Oreochromis niloticus: one gene and its partner. The protein of the gene in region 2 binds, or shares a complex with, the protein of the main gene of each other region. Links are inferred from orthologs where the notes say so. Each region holds a gene or a part of one and is shown on either strand. Other genes may lie near its edges.

What was found. The genes of interacting proteins can lie anywhere in the genome.
Region 1: exosc8 (region 2) and exosc4 share a complex: the UniProt entries of both Homo sapiens proteins name them as parts of the RNA exosome core complex. The link is inferred for Oreochromis niloticus from reciprocal best matches to the Homo sapiens genes EXOSC8 and EXOSC4.

What each region holds. Positions count from the first base shown.
Region 1 is NC_031982.2:18,039,900-18,050,396, reverse strand, and holds exosc4 (exosome complex component RRP41), read left to right. Parts: upstream 1-6,588; 5' UTR 6,589-6,672; coding exon 6,673-6,843; intron 6,844-7,647; coding exon 7,648-7,854; intron 7,855-7,953; coding exon 7,954-8,313; 3' UTR 8,314-8,480; downstream 8,481-10,497. Other genes in the region: prkacbb (protein kinase, cAMP-dependent, catalytic, beta b), read left to right, coding at 913-1,035, 1,174-1,338, 4,469-4,594; gpaa1 (glycosylphosphatidylinositol anchor attachment 1 protein), read left to right, coding at 9,599-9,672, 9,765-9,944, 10,084-10,195, 10,311-10,458. UniProt on the Homo sapiens protein: Non-catalytic component of the RNA exosome complex which has 3'->5' exoribonuclease activity and participates in a multitude of cellular RNA processing and degradation events.
Region 2 is NC_031975.2:15,849,767-15,861,180, forward strand, and holds exosc8 (exosome complex component RRP43), read right to left. Parts: upstream 4,092-11,414; 5' UTR 4,006-4,091; coding exon 3,989-4,005; intron 3,640-3,988; coding exon 3,603-3,639; intron 3,509-3,602; coding exon 3,445-3,508; intron 3,364-3,444; coding exon 3,290-3,363; intron 3,196-3,289; coding exon 3,150-3,195; intron 3,057-3,149; coding exon 2,951-3,056; intron 2,844-2,950; coding exon 2,798-2,843; intron 2,707-2,797; coding exon 2,610-2,706; intron 2,478-2,609; coding exon 2,357-2,477; intron 2,235-2,356; coding exon 2,128-2,234; intron 1,646-2,127; coding exon 1,527-1,645; 3' UTR 1,415-1,526; downstream 1-1,414. Other genes in the region: supt20 (transcription factor SPT20 homolog), read left to right, coding at 460-609; alg5 (dolichyl-phosphate beta-glucosyltransferase), read left to right, coding at 4,838-4,900, 5,865-6,033, 6,219-6,265, 6,932-7,000, 7,137-7,229, 7,341-7,454, 7,571-7,630, 7,723-7,874 and 2 more. UniProt on the Homo sapiens protein: Non-catalytic component of the RNA exosome complex which has 3'->5' exoribonuclease activity and participates in a multitude of cellular RNA processing and degradation events.

The sequences.
Region 1 (10,497 bases), on a different chromosome or scaffold from region 2:
GATTTATAGCCTCAGTTTCTTGTTCTTAGCTGACAGGAGTGGCACCAGGTGTCCTCTTCTGCTGTTATAGCCAATCTGCTTCAAGGTTCAGTGAGTTTTGAATGCAGTTGCTGTTGATTTCTCATTCCCTTCTGGCCTTTGGCATCAACAAGACATTTTTACACAGAGAACTGCTGCTTTCTGCATAGTTTCCCTTTGTCAAACCATTCTCTGTAAACGCTAGAGTTGGTTGTGTGGGATAATCCCAGGAGATCAGTTTCTCAAATCCTCAGACCAGCCTGCCTGGCACCAACAACTATATTACGGTCTAAGTCACTTAAAACACCCTTCTTTCCCATTCTGATGCTCAGTTTGAACTTCAGTAGGTTGTCCTGACCGTGCATAAATGAATTGAGATGTGCAGTATGATTGGGTGATTCAACATTTGCGTTAATGAACAGTTTTGAGCACGTTTATGAGTACCGTTTCATTTCTGCTAATGGATGCTTGTAAAGCCTAAACACTGGTCTGTAGATGAGTCATATTTTACAAAAGTTTCTATGACAAAAAATAAAAATCATCATTAAAAGAAAAGGACTGTAGCAGGAATTTATCTAGAGAGGGAAAAGAATTGTCTGTGCTTGCTATACAAATGTCTTATTTCTATATACAAAGTTCCAGTTTTCTAACTGCAGGTCAGAGTAAAATTAGTGGTGAAATACAGATTCTTACAATGCAACTAACCAAAGCTCCTCGGTGTTATTATCCAAGTGGAGCTGCGGGAGCCATTTGGAAGTTTTCTCAAGTGATAAATTATAATGAGAAAGTCTTAAATGTCTTAAAAACAGCCTACTTTTTCTCCAATTATATACTATAAGTATTTTTCTTCTTGTGTGTTTTCTGTTATATTAACATGTGTTATGTTCGTTTTAGGGCTATAACAAAGCTGTGGATTGGTGGGCCCTTGGAGTCCTCATCTATGAAATGGCAGCTGGCTACCCTCCTTTCTTTGCAGATCAGCCTATTCAGATCTATGAGAAGATTGTGTCTGGAAAGGTAAGAAGCTGCTTCTTTTGGAAATGCCAACATGATGGCATGAGGAGCAACGGCCATGCATGATAGCTAAGTTAAATTAAATGTGCACGACTGCTTTAACTACTAGAAATGAAATCCTAACACTTGCAGTCTTTTCAGGTTCGGTTCCCGTCCCACTTCAGCTCCGATTTAAAGGACCTGTTGAGAAACCTGCTGCAGGTGGATCTGACCAAACGCTACGGCAACTTGAAGAATGGAGTCAATGACATCAAGGGACACAAATGGTTCGCCACAACAGACTGGATCGCAATCTATGAGAGAAAGGCAAGATACCAAACACACATTAAAGTGACACCATACAGAATTAGCTCGTAGAGTTAATTATATATCGATTTACACACATATTTATTTATTTTCTAGAAAGTTTCCAAATACTCTTCAATCAGTTTTACTACACGGTCCTTTCTGATTGTCGTTACTTAGCTGTTGCATGCACAGTATTTACTTAATATATTTATTTCATTTTTTTAACTGGCCAGTAAAAAGGTGTGGGGTTTTTTCACTTGGAAATCACCCAGCTTCACTGCAGATGGTGCCACATGCCAGTTTGCAGGCGTGACAGTGATAATGGACTGTTTGGATAAATCTAATTAGTTATTTAGCTTGGGCTTAAATCTTATTGACTTCCTTTAGTTTAGCTTAATATGCAAGCATTATGTTTTTGTTTTTTTACTTTGTTTTTGCACTCTTCTACCTGTGATTTGTTATAAGATGAAAATAAGCAGCGTTCTCTGTTTAAGTTAGTCCAGTAAAACTCCAGAGCAGTTCCTCATGAGCAGAGTTGCTTCTTGGGGTTTTGTGGCATAAAAGCAAGATAAAGAGCTACAAAAAGGAAGAGAAGCTGTTTTGTATTTACAGTGAAGTTGGAGCCTTTTCTTTGTGGACAGAAATTCAGTTGCTTTGCCTTTAGTATATTGCTGTATGACAGTGTTAGAATGTAATATCTTGGGCCAGTCACTGTGTAGTCTCACTGTAAGTTGGCAAGCGCCCATGCTGAGATTTTATGAAGACAATGTCTCAGTCCCAGTGAATAAATATCCTATTTGAATATTCTAGTCCAGCTCGTTTAAGCATATTTTGTTATTTTTGCAGAGGTCGTTTCTTCTCTTTGATCATTTTGTTTTAATATGTGTTTCATGATTTAATAATTATGGAAAAAAGTAGACATCTGACTATGACCAAATGATCCGATTAATCATATAGCATTTGTTTCTGGATCCTGGCTAATGTCACATGCTTCTGCGTGTAAGGTTATTCTCTGACATGTAGTAAATCCAGAGCAGAGGGAGTTGAACTGGCAACTCTGAAAAAATGCCACAGTTTTTGTCTTTAAGATATACACGTTGTGTTGTACTGAGTGCATCATTGAAAGTAGTGTTCAGTAAGTGATGTATTAAAGCATTACAGATGCAACTCTGCTGTTTGAGAAAATCGTCCAATCACAGTTTGTCTTTAGTCTCAGTTATGTGCATTATGTATTTGAATAAGCTGCAATCATATGACTCATGTTAAATAATGGGTAAAATTAATGTGCAAACACAGTACAAAGAGCAAGTTAAAAGAAAGTTAAATATAGATTATATAAATGATTATATTAATTTTATCAAAGATAATGCTTTGTCCGAAGAGGTCAATTTACAGTGTTTGCCAGATGGCTAATTTGACTGTTGTCCACAAGCCGGATGCAAACAAACAAAAAAATAAATAAAACATAAACACTGAATGACTTAAATTCAGCGCATCATTTAGAAGAAAAATAAATATTAATAAAAATTAAAGTAGAACTTTATGCATAGTTGAGTCAGTGAGGCACGGCACCCACTTTTAGCTTTTGTAAAATTCCTGTTAATTAAAACATCTTTGCAGACAAATATTTCAGTGACCTAAGTGCGTCTCCTAGAAGCAAAATGTGAAGTTTTTCACTCCAGTACCAGGGATATGAATGAAGCTTGGAGTACCAAGTGCCCGACAACTCTGAGATCATTTGCCATTTCCCCTGCAACGTTTTGCATACAGGGCAGGTATTACCACTTTGGAAAAATAATTGCGCTGGGGATAACGGCTCTTTTGTCCCCGTATGTTGATCATTTTCCAGAAGCCTGCATTACTTACCCTGTTTTTTTTTTTTTTTAACTCACATATCTTTGGTTAAATTAATGTGGCTACTTTTGTGATTTCAGTGTGTCTTTGTGAGCCAGACGTATATTCATACGGAGGCTTATTTTTACAAACGTCTGAGTTGATGTTGGAAAATTCTTGCTAGCAGCCATTGCGTTGTTTTTCCTTAGCCTTCATGCATTAATTATCCTGCAGTTTGTGATTTGTTTTCAATAAGGTACTTGTGCTGCTTTGCAGCACAGACACAATATGACTTGGCTGACGTTGCTTGCCCTACATCCAAAGTATTTCCAAACTATGAATGATGATCCGCTTCTAGGGACAAGCTCCACGTCGTGCTGCGCCAGACATTTAAATTTTGTTTCGATGGTCTGTTATCTGGAGTATATCACCCCAGTCAAGTGCTTTCAGGAAATGTGATGCTGAACAGTTATGGGAAGCCAAACTCTCATATGATTGAGATTAAAATTTGAGTCATTGTGCAGCCCTAGTTAAAATGTAACTATACAAAATCCTGTTAAATTAGAGGGGACAAAGATGAAAGTACAAGCGATACCAGAGGTACCCATTAACCTGTAACATATTTGATACATACAGTTTTTCATCATCATTGTGATTCTGCTGTTTTGTTTTTTCCCCCCCATAAAACCTAAATAAATTGGACAATACATTTTTAAACGATAAATTTCAAAAATTGTCAGAAGATTCGATGAACAAATTATCTGAATGATTTCATGGTTAGGGCTTTAAAGGTTTAACTCTTTGTTATGCATCAGCTGGTTTGTAAAGTGTATGTCTGATTATTTATGAAGGCACAAGTGTCTGTATCTGTGGTGTGGAAGCTCTTCAGATCAGATGCTTTGAGGATGATTTTTAAGATGGGATTAAGATGTCTAATGAAAGGATTCATGCTTTTGTGCTTTGTTCTACTCAGGATGTGAATAAAGTAGTTTTAGGAATGAAAAGCAGACTTGAGAGGGAAATTTAGATGTGTGTGCTCTCGTATCTGCACACCTGGTGAATTGTTACACAAACTGCAGTTGCCAGTTTTTGTTAAGTTATTAAAAACTGCCTCCATTGTAGAGGAAGAGGCTTCACCAGCTATCTGACAAGCACATCGTTTAAGTTGACAGCATTTGGGGTTTGCCAGGACAACAAATGCTGTCTAGATTCACTGTAATACAATACAGTCTTGCCTGCTCTACTGACAAGCCAGTGTAGGCATAAATATAATATAATCCCACCCAGTAAAACAAGTCTTTCTGTTCTTCTGCAGGTTGAAGCTCCATTCATACCAAAGTGTAGAGGCCCGGGGGACACGAGCAACTTCGACGACTACGAGGAGGAGGAAATCCGCGTTTCTTTAACGGAAAAATGCGCGAAGGAGTTTGCAGAGTTTTAGGACGTGAGAACATGGATATATCAGGGAAAATAAGGGGATCTTTGCACTCTTCTGAAGACTTGGGATGGAGCAGAGACCATCTTTTTCAGATCTACTACATAGTCCCTTCATTCCACAAGGCTGAATGAGGTCGCCATGATCCTTGGGTGCCGATAACCTGTCACCGTCACGTACACCTGCATATTAAAGCAGACACATCACTTTTCTCTTTCTTTTTGTTGTTTTTTTTGTACTTATCCTTTTTTTTTTTTTTACTTTGAAGCAGTTAGTCTTGGATGTTGTTATCCCCTATAAAAATGTGATATTTTTCAATTTATGAGGAAAAACTGACAGTGGCCAATAATGATACACACATTGTGGGTTGTAGGGATTCCCCTCCAGTTGTCAGCAATGTACATTAAGAGTGTGCATCACATTTAGATTTTGTCTTAGGTGCAAATCTGTCCAGACATTTGACAACTTTGACTGTTTAAAGGATGACCAAATGGGAAAACGCTAGGTGACACAAGAAGAGAGGTCCTTTCCATTCTTTGCTTTAAGCCTTAGAGAGCCAAATCCTTAGATGAGCCCCCCTCACCCCCATGTTCACTGTCTCCTTTGTATCGTGACCCAGGCACAGCAAGCCATGCAGAAAAGGACAAACCTTGTTACATTAGTAAAAATGTAAAATCCACTTGTTTGTTTGATCTGTTTGGGTCCGCTAGTTACATGTAAAGTTTGATATGTTACAATATTTTGTCGCTGTGTCAAACATTATAATCATATTGTCCCCATCGGGCCTGCTTATAAAGACCCTCATTACATGTCTGTGGAACAACGTGACCTCGGTAAAAGGGAGTAAAGAGAAATCCTTTTAGGGTTTTAACTTTTATGTAAAGCTGAGAGGGTCAGTGTGAATAGTGTTGCAGCTCCGCGCCTCAACATTTAGTGAATCTTTAAAAAAAAAAAAAGTATAATGTACTCAATGAAAGATGTTTTAAAATCTTTGAACAGGAATGCATAAAAGAAAGGATATTTACCATATTCTCCCTGTTATCGCCCCAAAGAGATTTCTTTATTTCATTCTTGTCAAAGAATGTAGATTTGCAACTTATAGGTATGCATATTTGAAAGCTTGATTTCAGTTTTCCTCACAATACACTGGCTAAAATGAAGACTGCTCCTTTGTATCACATGTAACCCTGTTATTGTTAAGCTCATTACATCATACGTATATGCATTGTTTCATATATGTTTTTATTTATACACATTAGAGATGCTAATAAATTTTATTTTTAAAAGTGTTGGAATTTTCTTGCACCCTTTCTTCCATCGTGGATTGCGGATCCTACTGTGTGATCTGGGTAGTATCAAAAGTCCAGAGGCCTCAAGAGAAGATATTTTATTTTAGACGTTTTAAGCAAGTTTGTATCACAGTGAGCACTATGGATTCCTGATTTGGCATCTTGGTATGAACAGCTTAATTACACATAACTTGAATACAGGTGAATACATGTTAGCTTTTTAGAAGTGGGCTGGGGCTTTTTCCATGTGACTAAGGGGTAAAAGACTTGGTGCTACCTGGACAGATCAGTAGTCTGTTAAAGAGCTCACACAAAGACGCATTCAGCCATTACACCTTTGGTCAATTTAAAATCACAAGTTAACCAATGCACGTGAGGAAGCTGGAGAGAAACCACACAAGCATTATGGAAACGTGAACTCATCAGAGAAAGGCCCTGTCTAGCTGGTGGTTTAAACCCAGGACCTTGCTGTGAGCCAGCAGTGCTAACCACTATATTTCTGTATTTGTTGTAACTGACAATCCATCACTACATATTTGGACCACAACACTGTATATAAAAGATGACCATAGCCACCAGTTACGTGAAACCAGAGTATTAAACACAATGAAAACGGTTTATTGTGGATACTAACTCTGCTTCTCATGGTTTCCGCTCTGGCTGTTTTTCTTTTCCGGAAGTTGTCGTTCGGTTTGGACCTATGGTGTTGCCGTAGGTACTCGGCGTATGGGTAATGTAGTGTAGCAGGAGACACGTGGGACGCTGCGTTTCCGTTCATTCGAAGTTTACGGAAACATGGCGGGCCTGGAACTGCTGTCTGACCAAGGATACCGTTTAGATGGAAGAAAAGCCACCGAGCTGCGGAAGCTTCAGGCCCGTATGGGTGTGTTCACTCAGGCCGACGGCTCTGCGTATTTAGAGCAGGGGAACACCAAAGCTCTGGCCGTGGTGTACGGTCCCCACGAAGTAAGTGCCGCGGATGGAGGGGAGGGTTAGTGGGGATAAACAATAAAATGCATTTGATTATGGTCATCACACCAGTGACATAAAGTCGCCACATTTTGATATAATATAGTGTAAATACCTGAGAAAGGGGAATTTTCAGCGAGATCTTTTGCTTGTAGCAGTACTTGCACAGTGTAGTATCATTATTAAATTATTGCTCAAAGCAGACCAGATGTGTAGGAAGTTTTATTTAAGGCTCAACAGCATGAAGTATTAATTGAAATCAAAGTTATGATAACATATACATTCTCTAGACACTTGATTGGGTACACCTTGGCCCATGGTATGAATTCAACAACACTTTTCCACTTGAGTTTTTTAGTCCATATTGAGATAATAGCATCACACAGTGGCTGCTGATTTGTTGGTTGCACATCCATAATATTAATCTCCTGTTATGCCTTTGGAATGAGAAATGGTGATTCTAGAGGTCATTTGAGAATATTCAAGAAACCTGTTTGAGGTGATTTGAGGTGTGTGATGTGGGGTGTTATCCTGCTGGAAGCAAACATCACAAGATGTGGTCATAAAGGGATGGACACAGTCAGCAACAATAATCAGGTTGACTGTGTGCAAATGATACGTTTATATTCCAAGTATATTTGCGTTAACAAGCCGTCGAACAAGTGCACCAAAAAAAGTGTCCAGTTGGTGTATATTGCAGCATTTCTTTATGTTCAGTGCAGTTAACATTGTCCCAGTGTTTAAGCACAGTAACGTCCAGTCCAAGCTGTACATCAGTTCTTACGTGTCGTTTTCCTCCAGATGCGAGGTTCCCGAAGTCGGACTCTTCATGATCGAGCAGTTATCAACTGTCAGTATAGCATGGCCACGTTCAGCACAGCGGAGAGGAAGAGACGACCACACGGAGACCGCAAATCCACTGAGATGAGCCTCCACCTGAAGCAGACGTTTGAGGCTGCTGTGATGACCCAGCTGTACCCTCGCTCTCAAATTGATATCTATGTCAAGGTTCGTGTTGGACTGACACTTCATCTGGTGAGAGGTATTATAGGTATTATAGATTTCTTTGTAATTGTTCACAAACACGTTTCCATCGTCTTCCAACAGATTCTGCAGTCAGACGGAGGGAATTACAGCGTGTGCGTGAATGCTGCCACACTGGCAGTGATTGACGCTGGCATCCCTATGCGGGACTATGTGTGTGCCTGCACTGTAGGGTTTGTGGATGAGACCCCCCTCGCTGACCTGTGCTATGCGGAGGAAAGTGGAGGCGTGAGCTCATTGGCTTTAGCGCTTCTGCCCCGAGGTGGACAGATCGCTCTGCTGCAGATGGATGCCAGACTGCATCAGGATCACCTCGAGACTCTGATTGAAGCTGCAATGACTGCTTGTAAAGGTGTGAGCAAAGTGCTGGATGAGGTGGTGAGGCAGCATCTTCAAGAAGCCTCGGTGCTCACTGGAGAGTGACGTGGGACGGCAGCAGGAACATGTGGACTCCGAGTGCAGCTTGAAAGTGTTATTGGACTTTAAATATTTACAAATGATATTAACGTTTAATTCATTTATATCAGTCACTGAATACTGTTGTATGTATGTGATAAATGTAATAATAAATATTTTAGTCATGCATCGTTTCCTTATTGGTTGTTTATTTGTGAGTGAGGTATTCAAACTTGTCTACTTATACGACGTCTGCTCCTGCAGCTTCACCTCTCCACCTGCCTCCCAGCCATTGAAACATGTATCCTCTCTTGTTTCTACTGACCTTCTCTCCAGGACACACCTCCATCACCCCCGGTTATCTTCCCCACCTGCTCCCTACTCTCTATGATGGAAGCTTGTTTGTCCAACTCAAAATTTTTGAGATTTTAACCCTTTCTGGTTACTAAGTATCTTGAAATGTTGACTTACTTCTGAGCTCACACATTTTGAGATATATATTTCCACTGGCAGAAACAAGCTACCACATTGATGTTCTACATTTTATAGCAATAAATAATAATTTAAAAAACTATGTTTTAAACTAAATACACGAGTAAAGTCACTCTGTATTAAGGTAAGCTAAATGAAAACTACGAGCTTTAAGCATTTAAGAAAAATTTTAAGGGAAGTTTTAAACATGTACCTTATAACGTATAACATGTACCTAATAACGATGAAACGGGTTATTCATCCAGTATTTTCAATATTTCTTTGTGTCGTTTTATTTTGTTTTACTTTATTTTATTTTAACTTGCTTGAGCGGAAGTCGGTGCGCCGCGGTAATGTTCCCGCAGGAACAAGGAAATCGAAAACGTCCAGCAGCGGCTTCTGCGATAAAGCCCCACCTCTGAAGGTGGATGTGACCAGTGGACACAGGTGGGTTTTTTATATATATTCTGCAAAATAATAAAAAAATTTGTTAAAGCTCTTTAAAAAAAAAAAAAAAAAAAAAGCTTTTTCAGCGTATAGCGGGTTTAAACATTTACCACTCAGCGAAACCGTCCTGCTTGCTTGCTAGCTCGCTGCACCAGGCTAACCTCAGCTGTCAGTAGATGCTCTGACAATGGATCCCAGGAAGCAATTTCTCAGCTCGATATAAAGGCGTGATTACCGCAGCGTCGAATGGTCATAAATGTCTTCATATCGATGTGTATTCCTCAGCGGTAGTTATCCTTACGGATTGTTAACAAATCATATTTAAATTGTCTGTGTGTTTCCTTCAGGATCCGCCAGTAAATCCAGGCTTTGGAGTAACGTTACAGCTGATAATATGGGGCTGCTATCTGACCCAAACAGAAGACGGGCTTTGATCAGTATGCTGACTCGCCTCAATGCCCCAATCTGGTGAGTTTTAGTCAGTGTGAAACGTCTGCCTACTTTCGTTTAGCTCTCTCTCTCTCTCTCTCTCTATTAATATTACTTCTGTCTTGTTTTAGTGTGGTCTGCTACTTTGCCGGTGTGGCTTGGTTCATGGGTTTGGCCTTTGAGCCGTTCACTCTGCGGACATACATGTCAGAGAATGCCATGGGCTCTACCATGGTGGAGGAGCGCTTTCCAGCTGGGGAGAGAGCGTTGGCCACCGGGAGGGAGTTTGCAGCCCATAAGAAGAAAGTTGGGTAAGGTTTACTATAGACTTGTGCTTGTGGGTCTTTATGCAGTTTGTTCCTAGTTTTTTGTTGTTATTTGAAACTCAAGTCTCGGTAGAAGTCTGATCGTTTTTACAGTAATCTTGTTTGACTATTTGCGTCTCTGCAGTGGGATGCCAGTGGACTGGCTCGTGAAGAATATGCAGGATCGAGGACTGGAAGTGTTTACTCAGAGCTTCTCTCGCACACTACCCTTCCCTGATGAAAACAAAGAGAGATATGTGAGTTTATCGTGGAAAACTGATTTTGTTCTCAGCAAGAGACAGACTGGTTTTTGCACAATCTTTATGAATATTTAATGACTTATCCTTTGGTGCTGTCTCCTCTTCTTGGCAGATTGTAAAAGGCACAAATGTATATGGTATCCTTCGAGCTCCTAGAGCTCCACGGACTGAAGCCCTGGTGCTGAGTGCTCCCTGCAGCCCAGGTGATAGCAACAACCAGGCTGTGGGACTGCTTCTCGGCTTGGCTCAGTACTTCAGAAGTGAGTACAGCACCCATTCCCCTCTCCTTCTCCACAATT
Region 2 (11,414 bases):
CGCACGGTTTGCTGAGCTGCATGTTTGTTTGTTTGTTTTTACGCCAGGATCACAGCCAATAATTTGTCTTCCAGACGCCACTGGTGCTGCTTGACTGTATCCCGCCTCACTCCCCAAAACATGACCTGCCCCAAATCTTATCTCTTCCTTCCTCTTCCTTCCCCTCTGCAACCCATTAACCACTCTCCTGTGTTTCTCCGCACACTCCTCTTGTATGTTCTATGTATCAGGCTTTAGATCAGCTTCACTAACCCATGCCAGTTATACGACACAAGGCACTCTGCTAGAAGACGTTTTAGCGAGGGATTCCAGTTAACATGTCTTAACCGAGCTTGAGATGCTTACATAAACCTTAAAGTCAATATCATTATTTCTTTCTGCATTATCTTATTTGTAGTAACATACTGAAGTCTATTTTTTTTTTTGTCCTTCTTCCATGTTTCTTTTTGCACTGAACAGTTGCAATTCTTGCAGCACCAAATGCAGCAGCAGCAGCAAATGGCTATGGGAGCAGCAGCTCCTCAGGGGGGAGCGCCACGGCACCATACCGCCAGCCAACCAAGAAGTAAGAGGAAGAGGAGCACGCCTCAGCCCCTCCCCAAATCATGAAAGACTTAAATCACACTAAGACCTTCCCCCCGCCCAAATCCACACACAAAAGGACGTGAATGATCCATATTGTGCTCTTTGCCTGCCTCGCTGTCGAGTGTAGGCAGAAAAAACAACGACGAAAAACCCCACAAAAAACTCTTTTCTGTTTGTCTTTTTCTAGCTGACAAATTTGTATGTAATGGTTGTCAGATGTTTGGGAGAGAACCAAAACTGTGTCCACCATAGGGGATGGGGAGTGTTAGAAAAGGGAGCCCTAAAGTTAAAAAAATTGTTAATGCTATTTTTTGAGATGACACAGAAGAGGATTGTTGTAAGTAGTGGGCTTCCACAATAACGCACCGCCCCCCTCCGTTGTGGAAGAGCTGTCTCTAATGGAGGCCCTGTGAACTGAGAGGATCGCAGATGCACATTCTCAGAGGATTCCCCTCGAGAAGCCCGATCCTAATGCCTCTGCTCGGTTGACCCAGGTAGAAACTGCCCTTTAAGCACGGATCCCGACTGAGCTTACCGACACCAAATCCTCCCTGTGTAACCGTTACATGTGAAATGCAAATCTGATCTTGGAATTGTGCCTGGGGGCAGCTCTCTACCTCTCAGTCTGTTGGAAGTCTTTCTTCTCTTAAGCAGTCCCAGCACAGGGCTCAAACGAGGACTCAAGATCATCATGCAAGATGGTGTACCTGCTTTTGTACAGCACATTTTGAAAAGGCATTTCCTTTTAATTAGTACAGGAGCCATGAGCGTATTCTTACGAGACATCAACTGAGTGTGTGTGTGAGACATTTCCGGACACTGAGAAATAATTTTTTAAAGCGGTCTTTGTCAGCAGTTTTATTGTTATTAAAAAAAAAGAATATATATTGACAGTGAAAAATACAGCTTTTAGATAAAAAAAAAGCATCGTCCGAGTGTCATTATTGTGCCTTCTTCACACTGTGTGCAACTTTGGCAATGAGTTTCTGGATCTCTCTCTGTCGTGTTGTTGCTCGGCTGATACACTCCTGCAGCCTCTCTCCTGACAGTGATGTCCCACCTGAGCAACAAGTAGCAATGTATAGAACAGTATTTCCCAGTTACGTTAAAAATGTCTTTTTGGCATTTTTGAGTTTTTTGCTTTTTGTTTTATTTCTGTTGACCTAACCTGAGTGTTCATTTTGAAGCCGTCAGTTTATGTTGGTGTTACTATTACACATGCATTGATTCATACAACAGGGGTATTCTGAGGACATTTTTTTTGTGTTAATGCCAAATCAGGTTAAAGGAGTAGCTCCATAGTGTAGTGGTTAACACATTTTCTTGGCAAGCAAACAAAGGATCGCTGACTCTACCCCTACTAGAAACATAAATCCCCTTTGGCGTCATGCCAGGAAGGACATTAGCATTAAAACTGGCAAATCAGTTGCAGATTTTGGCTCTTGCAGTAAGGGATAAGCCTAAAATATCTTCAACCAAATTAGGTTCATGCCACATACCATGCAGTCTAGAAAGGCAAATCGCTTCAAACGTATTCCTCACCTGGTTTGTGCACAGAGCAGAGCCGGTCATCCTCATCAGTCACCACCGTCAGGTGTGCTGTTGACAGAGTCTCCTCCTCAGCTGTGGGGTCCGAAATCAGTATGGAACTGCAGCGAGATTAGGCCAGGATTAGAAAAAGAAGCACATGTCACTTAAAAATAGAGATTATAAATTTCTTTTTTGGGTTGTTGTTTTTTTTTTTATATATATAATGGCTAGACTAACTTACTCATCAAAGATGCAAAAAGAAGCGCTGACTAGATGTTTGTGAATCTGAAGTTCCCATCTCTTTTCTAAATTCACCTCTGGTGCAGAGGTCTCCTTGTTGATGGTGACTTCTGGGAGTCGTGCTGTGAGGAGCCAGGATACTGTTAAGTTCATGTACTGCTTAAAGAAGAAGAACTACTGATTTGTTTCCATTATTACCAGTTAAGACACATGGACTTTTTTTAAAATTTACATTACAGTAGAAATTTACATACTGTTCTTTAGAGCAGCCAAGAGTGCGATAACACAAGCATCCAATATGTTCCCATCATAGTCGAGACACATGAGGTCACAGTACAGCACCCAGCAGAGCTGCAACAAGAGTCCGCAGTTTTAGTACCCATGGCTGGATATTTAAGGGTCAAATTGTATGTCAGTGTAGCCCCGTGACTCTTGGGTTTACCTTTCCTCTGTCGATGGACAGATCCTCTGTTTTTATCACTTCAGAGCTGAAAAATTCACATAAAAACTTAGTTAAACCAGCACCAGGTTTAAAAACTATCACTCATTTAAAATAAACATTTAAAAAAAGCTAACATATACTGAAGTCGGGCACCTTTCAATGACATCAGCGATAAACTGGCTGGCAGCCTGGGCCTCCTCTCCCGGTGGTCCCGGCCGAAAGCGAGAGGAACATAGGGGTGGCAGGTCCACGTTGGGCACTGATGGAGATGCGATCATTGTTTGAATGACATGATATCAGATAATTAACAAAGAAAGAATGGGAGAAAACAAAGACTTCTTACTACACCTACCAATGTAGCCTTTACCAGGTGCCTCCACTGTAGGGTTTGCTAGCTCCTGCAGGAGGGGGAGATATAAGTGAGTACTTATCAACCTGGCCCACACTCACTAAATAAAAAAAACAACAAAAAGGAAAAACAAATGTGTTTACCGCTTTAATTCCACATATGATTGTTGTGTTTCCAAGCTTCACCAGGGCTGAGCCATCTGCTGTAGAAATTGACCCTAAACATGGAAATAAAATAAAAAATCCTATGTAGGTTACAGAAACCTCGCACACACTCACACACTGTGGGGAAGTCTCACCTATGTTCAGTGTTGTGGTTCTGAATTCAGTCAGCTCTCGTCCATCAGGCCGACAGTTTTCTTTCTAAAGAGAAACGAGAAACAAATAACAGTTCATATCCATCCAGAGAGCAACACTTGTCTGTCACGTGTGGGATGAACTTGTTTTCAACACTGACCAGAAAGCTCCGGTGGTACTCCAGAGGCTCAGCAGTCCTGCAAGTTAAAAGGGAACGCGGTAAAGGAAGCCACAGCACCGACACATCAGAAGCTCACTCAGAAACAGCACAGCGAAGAGAGTGACCGAGTACTCATGCTATACACGTCAATGACAAATATCTGAGCCAGTCATAAACTACAGCTGTGACACAAGAATGAATAAAGTGCGCTCTTTGTCACATGCATGATGTCCGGTATTTTCGTTTTATTTTGTGTAATAAATAATTTAATTTATTATAACACCAAATATGCATTTACTCCGCTGGTAAGTACAGGAAAAAATAAACAGAGCAAACTAAAAGTGATATTTTCCCAAACATAGAACGGAGAGCTTGTATATTCTTACTTGAAGCCAGCCGCCATGATGTTTTGATTAACCACGTGGGTTTGCGCTATGACCTACGGTAGCCGGGTAGGAAGAAGCGCATAACCAAAGTTTAACCAAACGCGTTTGTAACCAAATCATGACCTGTCCATAGACGTCTCTGGTCAAATCTAGTTGCAAGTAAATAAACTCCAGCCATTTATTGAGTTGCTTTTTATATTTTTGTGGACCTTGTAGGAAATCTTCAGGAAACATTTCCGATAGATTTTACAAAATAATTTTTGAGAGGTCGTTGTCCAAAATATGACCTTTAGGGAATTGGGGGACTGGGATGCAGGTTGTTGTTTTCCATAAATGTTACAACAAAATGTTGTAGACTAGAAGAAAAGTCTTTAATGCTTTGACAAATGCTAATATTTTTCCTAGCATTATACCTCCCTTTTTTTCTTTATGTACATGTTAAAGAGAGAGTCCTTGCCACCATTTCCACCCCTGTCCGCTATGAGGCAGTGTGCCCCAGCGCCGAGCGGCACTGTGCCGCTCGTTGTTCTCCTGCTCCAATATGATGATGTGGGAGAAAAAACAGTCACTACTTCCGCATCGTCGTTGTGTTCAGTTGTGATTGGAAGTGGAGTTAGGTGAAGTGTCCTCACAGCAATGGAAACATAAGGACTCATATTAAACATTTTAACCTTCTGAATAATATCGTAAGGTCGTAATTTGGTACATATATTTGGACACACCAGGAGGTTAGAACACAGGCTGTGTGTCAATAAAGGAAGGGAAAGGAGAAAGCCAGCTAGCTTCTGAGCTAGCCCCCTGCAGGTGGTCTGTCTGTCAGTGGGTGTAGGGTAGGTAACCTGATGGAAAATGGATTTCCTCTGTGAAATAGTTCAAGCCCTCGTCGCACTGGCAGCTGTAGGTTTCATCGTGGTGAGTAATCAGTGCTTTGGATGAGAGATGCTGTAGCTAAGTTGTTTTGGGAGAAGTTGCCCAAATACAGTTACAGTGATAGCGTGGGTATCTTTCCTTTTGTACTTTTCAAAACTTTCCAAGTTATCCTTGAGCATTGTGTTTGACTCGGGCCACTTGTAGACTTTTACAGGCCTGTTCATGTACCTCAGTTTTATGATACTTCCTCTTCATTCTGCTCTAAAGCAACAGAGGGGTCAAGTGTCATGCAGAAAAAATATCTCGTAAGTAATATAAGCATGAAAAGGAGCAACATTTAATTCAGAAAAACTAGACATTGGCTGATACCGGATCTTTAGGTTGTAAATAAATCCTGTATTGATTGGTATTTATTCAGAGCGTTAGTCCTATTGACTATTGAAAGCATATATGAAACATATGGTACATATTTGCTCGCATTCTTTTAGATATAGACCAGTTTCTAAAGTTTTACATTTTAGGATATAATAAAAAATAATCTCGTCCTTAGCAGATCTTAAAATTGAGTAAATACAACCTCAGATGAACTACAAAATGTGACATAGGAATGCAGAGAGTAATTAGCAGTCAGGTGCCTGCTATTAAGTAATGATCAGCAAGTTTGAGCACCTCTATAAAAAAAAAAGAAGGAAGTTTTCTGGTCTGGAGTATTCTAGGGTGGGGTAACACAATGCCAAGGAGGAAAGACATCAATTGTGTCTTTCATCATCAACTTGCTTCTCTGTGCTAGAGAAGCAATTGGTGGTTCTCATGAGTCTAGAAAGTCTTTTAAGGTCTTCTCTCTAAAAAGAACATGGGAGCGTAGCGTAGGTTTTCAGTCTTACATCTGAACAAACCACAAGACTTGTGAAACAATGTGCTTTGGAGATATTTGGCCAAAACGCATCACTGCACCACATTTGTAGAAAGATTCAATTGTAAATCAAATGCAATTCTCACTTTTCAGTTGCTCGTAATAGCACACTTAACCGCAGGGATGGTGGACCTGACACGCCATGAGAAGGAGAAACACTTTCTCACCGCCACCGGAGAGAAGCGGCTCTTCCCCAGTCTACATGATCCCCATTCCAGGGAGCTCTCTGTGGTGGTCCCGGCCTACAACGAGGAGCTCCGATGTGAGTAAAGTCTGCTTTTCTGCTCAGTCAGTCATTATGAATGCCCACATTAGACACACACTGTAAATAGTCAGTTTTCATTAGGCGTTAGTAGTGCAATCCATCCAGGTTGGTGCAGTCAGACGTCATGTCACTGTGCAGTAGGTTGTACTTGCTATTATATGTGTGTTACTGTGTCCCTTCAGTACCAGTGATGATGGATGAAGCTATGGAGTACTTGGAGAACAGGCAGGTAAGTGCAGAGCCTGAATTAAAGCGTAATTATATTTACAGTAAAAAGCAGCACATTTAAAAGCATATAAAACAAAATGTATCACCGGATATCCAATTACCACATTTAACAGTAACTGTAATTACATTTGGGATATTTATTTATAATCAAAATCTGACACACAAAAAGCAAACAAAAGAAAGACTGTTATCAGGACTGTGTTTTTATTAGGAACATTTATTAGTTAATAAATGTATATACTTTAAAGCTAAACTATGTATAAACAGATGGCTTAAAAATTTTAATGACAAGAAAGCCCTTAAATTATTTGTTCTGTTCATTAGTTTGAATTTATTTCAAGGTGACCACACCTTTTCAGAGATACAGTTCAAGTTTGTTTTTTTTGTTTTTTATAATTTGTTTACATTTTTTGGTCACTGGGTCCTTTTTTCTGCAACCTTGTGTATATAGGTTTCTTGAATAACTGATGTTAGTGCCTTTTTGTCTGCACTGATGATGGATAATGTTCATTATTAAAAAAAAAAAAACAAAACATATATTGCTGGATATGTTATTCTCAGACTTACCAGTAGGTGGCAACAATGATCTGGGTAAAGTGGCTGTTGTGAAACAAGTCTCTCCTGTTTTTTGTTTGTTTTTTTTGTCTGTTTTTTCTTCTGACTGCAGAAACAAAACCCCTCTTTTACCTATGAGGTCATCGTGGTGGATGATGGCAGCAAAGACAAAACCACAGAGGTAATAATTTTAAATCTTTTTTGGGGCAAATGTAACCAGACCTTCTATTTTAGCACAACTCCGTTTTGCTCAGCTAAACATTTTCAACCAGTATAGATCGGTTTCATGAGTGGACACTGTTGTGTTGTCCTGGCAGGTTGCTTTGCGGTACACTAGGAAGTACAGTGCTGATAAAGTGCGCGTCCTGACGCTGGTGAAGAACAGAGGGAAAGGAGGAGCTGTGCGGATGGTGAGATTGTAGATGTGAGATTACAGTGTGTCCAAATGGGAACCCTAAAGCAGCAGTTTGGAACTGACTTTGGGTTTTTTTGTTTTGTTTTTATCTCTTTTTCTTTTAAAGGGAACTCTGAGCTCCAGAGGGAAAGTCATTTTGATGGCAGATGCTGATGGAGCCACAAAGTTTTCTGACATTGAGAAAGTGGAGGGTGGACTCAATGACCTCAACCCCAAACCGGTGTGATGGTGTTCTGTTCTGTTTTAAATTCAGTTTCACTTATTAGATATATAAGTGTGTAAAAGTGGTTAAAATGTGGCCAAGCCTAATGCCTCATGTGCTGCTCTCACGTCTAGGAGAACATGGCAATTTCATGTGGATCCAGAGCTCACCTAGAGAAAGATTCTGTAGCTCAGGTAACAGGGTTTTATTTTATACTGCTTAAAAAGAAAAGTGTTCGAAATTATTTTTCAGAACAGTAAATGACCACACTTTGGTGTCTTTGCAGCGGTCTTTGTTTCGTACGTTCCTTATGTATGGCTTCCACTTCCTGGTGTGGTTTTTTTGCGTGAAGGGGATCAAGGACACTCAGTGTGGCTTCAAGCTTTTCACACGTGAGGCTGCACTCAAGACCTTCTCCTCTCTCCATGTAGAGCGATGGTAAGGAATCAGCCTCCACTGTTGGCACATGATGATGTCTTAGCTTAAAGTATTAGCTTTAATGTGCATTCACCTGGACTATATTAAAAGCAGAAATTTGCAAATCTTAACCAATTTGTCATATGTTTAGCAAAGGGATTGCTGGACAATTTAGTGTAAAGGCCATTACACACCGAGCGCATTGTGAAAAAGTCAAATTAAATTTTGAAGCCACATCTGAGAGGGCAGAGAAATAATTTCAGAGAGCCGACTGACCCGGAGCAAAGTCTAGCTGTGTGTCTGTGAGGTAAAATAGTATTACTTCACTAGTTCCCCATCATTGTTTATTCAGTACAGTGCGCTTTTTGAGCTGCGAACGTGCTTGTTGCCAAATGCAGTGGTGTGATTGTTCAGATCCTTTTATTCACAAATCCCAAAAAATTGAACTTCGTCCGAAAAGAAATTAATGCTGCAGATCCAACTCACAAAATTACACAGATAGGTGGCTCGGAAAAATATTTTTAAGCCATAAAATATTTTCACAGATTTTAAGTGTTCGGTGTGTAAAAGTATTTATTCTGATCAGAGAACACAGAAGAAAATACTCTCTCTCCCTTTCTCTCCACATATATATATATATATATATATATACATACATATAACTGTGTTGAGAACTGCTCAATGTATTACTAAACCCTGGAAGGATAGTATAAGTGGTGAGCCATCCTCTTTGTGGTTGAAGGGTGAAAAAGGCTTGGGATCACTTAAATTTTCGTGAAATCATATTATAAAAAACCGTATTATAAAGCCGTATTATAAAAGCAGTAGAAGTCAGGGCTATGTTTAATAGTGAAAATAAGAATGTTTCTGCAAAGTGCACAATGAACACTGCAAAAAGGGACTCAAGGGGCTGGAACTAAACAGCTGCATAGCCTTAAGAAAACCACTTATCAGTGAGGCTAATCTGAGAAAATGGCTTTAATTTGCTAGGGAGCATCAAGATTGGACTCTGTAGCAATGGAAAAAGGTCATGTGGTCATGTGGATGAGTCCAGATTTACTCTGTTCCAGAGTGATGAGTACATCAGGTTAAGAAGAGAGGCAGATGAAGTGATGCCTACCGTACAAGATTATTGTTATGTCTGCAATTGCTTCAGTTGGTCAGGTCTAAACCCAGAAAGTTACATCAATTAAATCAACACAAAGTATTCCAAGATGACACTCGTTGATTCATGAGTCAAAGAGTGGTTGAGCGAACAGGATTGGCCACCTCAGAGTCCAGACCTTAACCCTGCTGAGATTCTTTGGGATGTGCTGGAGAAGACTTTACACAGAGCTTTGACGTTCCCATGAGCAGTACGAGGTCTCGGTGGAAAACTTAATGCAGCTGTGGACATTATATGTGCAAAATCCATGCCTCAGGGAATCACAAGTTGGTGTACTCTTAGTGTCATCTCAACCCCAGATGAACTGTAGGATGGCAAATCTATGTCATGAGGAATTTTCAGGGCTGAAACTATTAAATCCGGTTCTTTGGATTCTTAGGGCCAAGAAAGACACAGGGCTCAAAGTGGTCTTTTAACTCTAAAAAATGATCTTTATTTTACATATCCGGATATGGAGACCTGAACACACGAACACACAAGCTCAGGTCTGAAATACAAACGGAAGCCTAGGTATTTATATACTTGCTCTACATCACATACACTTTAAGTTTCGATCAAACAGCCTAATTGGTTTCACTTTCTGGTCCTATGCTCTGCAAAAGTATGAAGTTACCATGCTTTTGCAAAAGCATATCGTTTCCTGTCAGGACTTTTGACACAAAGTGTACTCAGAGTTGGGCCTCTCTTATAAAGCAATATAATCAGCATATAAGCATTTAAGATAATATAGTAATTTCTTAACAAAACCCACATTTATGTCATGTTATAAATTGCAACCAGATAAACTTTACACACTCTTAAAGTGAATTAGCACTTTAAGCAGTCTGAGTCCACAATTCTCAGGCATAAAAGGGTGTGGCATGGCTGACTCCGGGACATGGATGAGCTGCTGCCCCAAGTGAAGGAGTTTAAGTATCCTGTGTTTTTTGTTCACGGGTGGGGAAGAGTGGATTGGGATATTCACAGATGGATCTGCTCTGGTGAAGAGAGCGCTGAGTGTGAAAGTGAAGTTGTTGATTTACTGGTCAGTCCACGTTTCTACCCTCACCCATAGCCATGAGCTGTGGGTAGAGACCAAAAAGAAGGAGAGTGCAGATACAAGTGACAGAAATGAGCTTGCAGCAAAGGGTGGCAGGGCTCTCCATTAGAAATTTAAAATAGATTCAGAATATATCTGCTTCTCCTTCAAATCAAAAACAGACAGTTAAGGTGCTTCAGGCATCTGGATAGGATCCCTCCTGAGTGGCCGTTAGGTGAGCAGCAAACTGTCCATGATACAAAGTAACAGAAAAAAACACTGGTCACAAGGATGTTTCATCTGTTTTCTGATAATTAACTGGTGAAAACTCCAAGAAGTGAATTTTTGATGAAATTTAAACAGTCTTCTGTGTCCAAATCAGTTGTGAGCATCACACTAATTAATGCTAAATAACTAAGAAGTCCTGAGGATTTATACCTAGCACAGGTGATGGAGTCACAGTGGAGTTTTAGGTTTTAACCTGCAGTAAAACAGGAACTTTAAATCCACTTTCTTCTCACAGGGCTTTTGATGTGGAGCTCCTGTACATTGCCCAGTGTTTTAAAATCCCCATAGCCGAGGTGGCGGTCAACTGGACTGAAATAGAAGGTACGACTTTTTTTTTTTTTCTTTCCATGAAATATGTGGACGTGTCTCCTCCCACCATGCCACCTATCTGCAGGGCTATAAATATCTCTGTAGGGTGTGTTTGGAAGTCTGTTTGTGGTTGATTGCATTTATTTTTAGACCTTTTGTAATAATTTGTAGAAGTTGATCTTTGTGTGTGAGCTTCATATAAGCCAGCCTAGCACCACTGCAATAAAGTCTTCCTTTTTATTGCACTGTCAGGCATATTTCCAGTATTTTTCTTATGAAAGCACGACTTGAAGCTGAAGCGCCTCTGGGTTTGTTCTAACAGGGTCCAAGCTGGTACCGTTTTGGAGCTGGCTGCAGATGGGACGAGACCTGGTTTTCATTCGCCTGCGCTACATCACCGGAGCCTGGAAACTGCAGTCATCGCATAAGACTGATTAGCCAATCAGACGAGCCCTTGTATCATAGAGACGGCCTATGATACGGCCACCGAGCCTTTGGGTGGTTTGGGGGGGAGCATTACAGCTGTGTCCATCATTCACTGTAATCAGAAGCAAAGCACGGTGTATCAATACTTCTCCTTTCCAGGCATCACTGGATGGAAGTAATGACACAGTTTTGGTTTCCTCATGATCCTGCCTTTTTTTTATGTGATTACCGTTTGTTATGGCTTATGTTAAAAAATTCTGTTGCCACGGGTTACAGAACATCTCTGTGGTTCGTCCATGAACTAAGTTACATCATGTTGTGCCCAGTCAGCCGTGAGAAGGACTTTTAGTGGTGT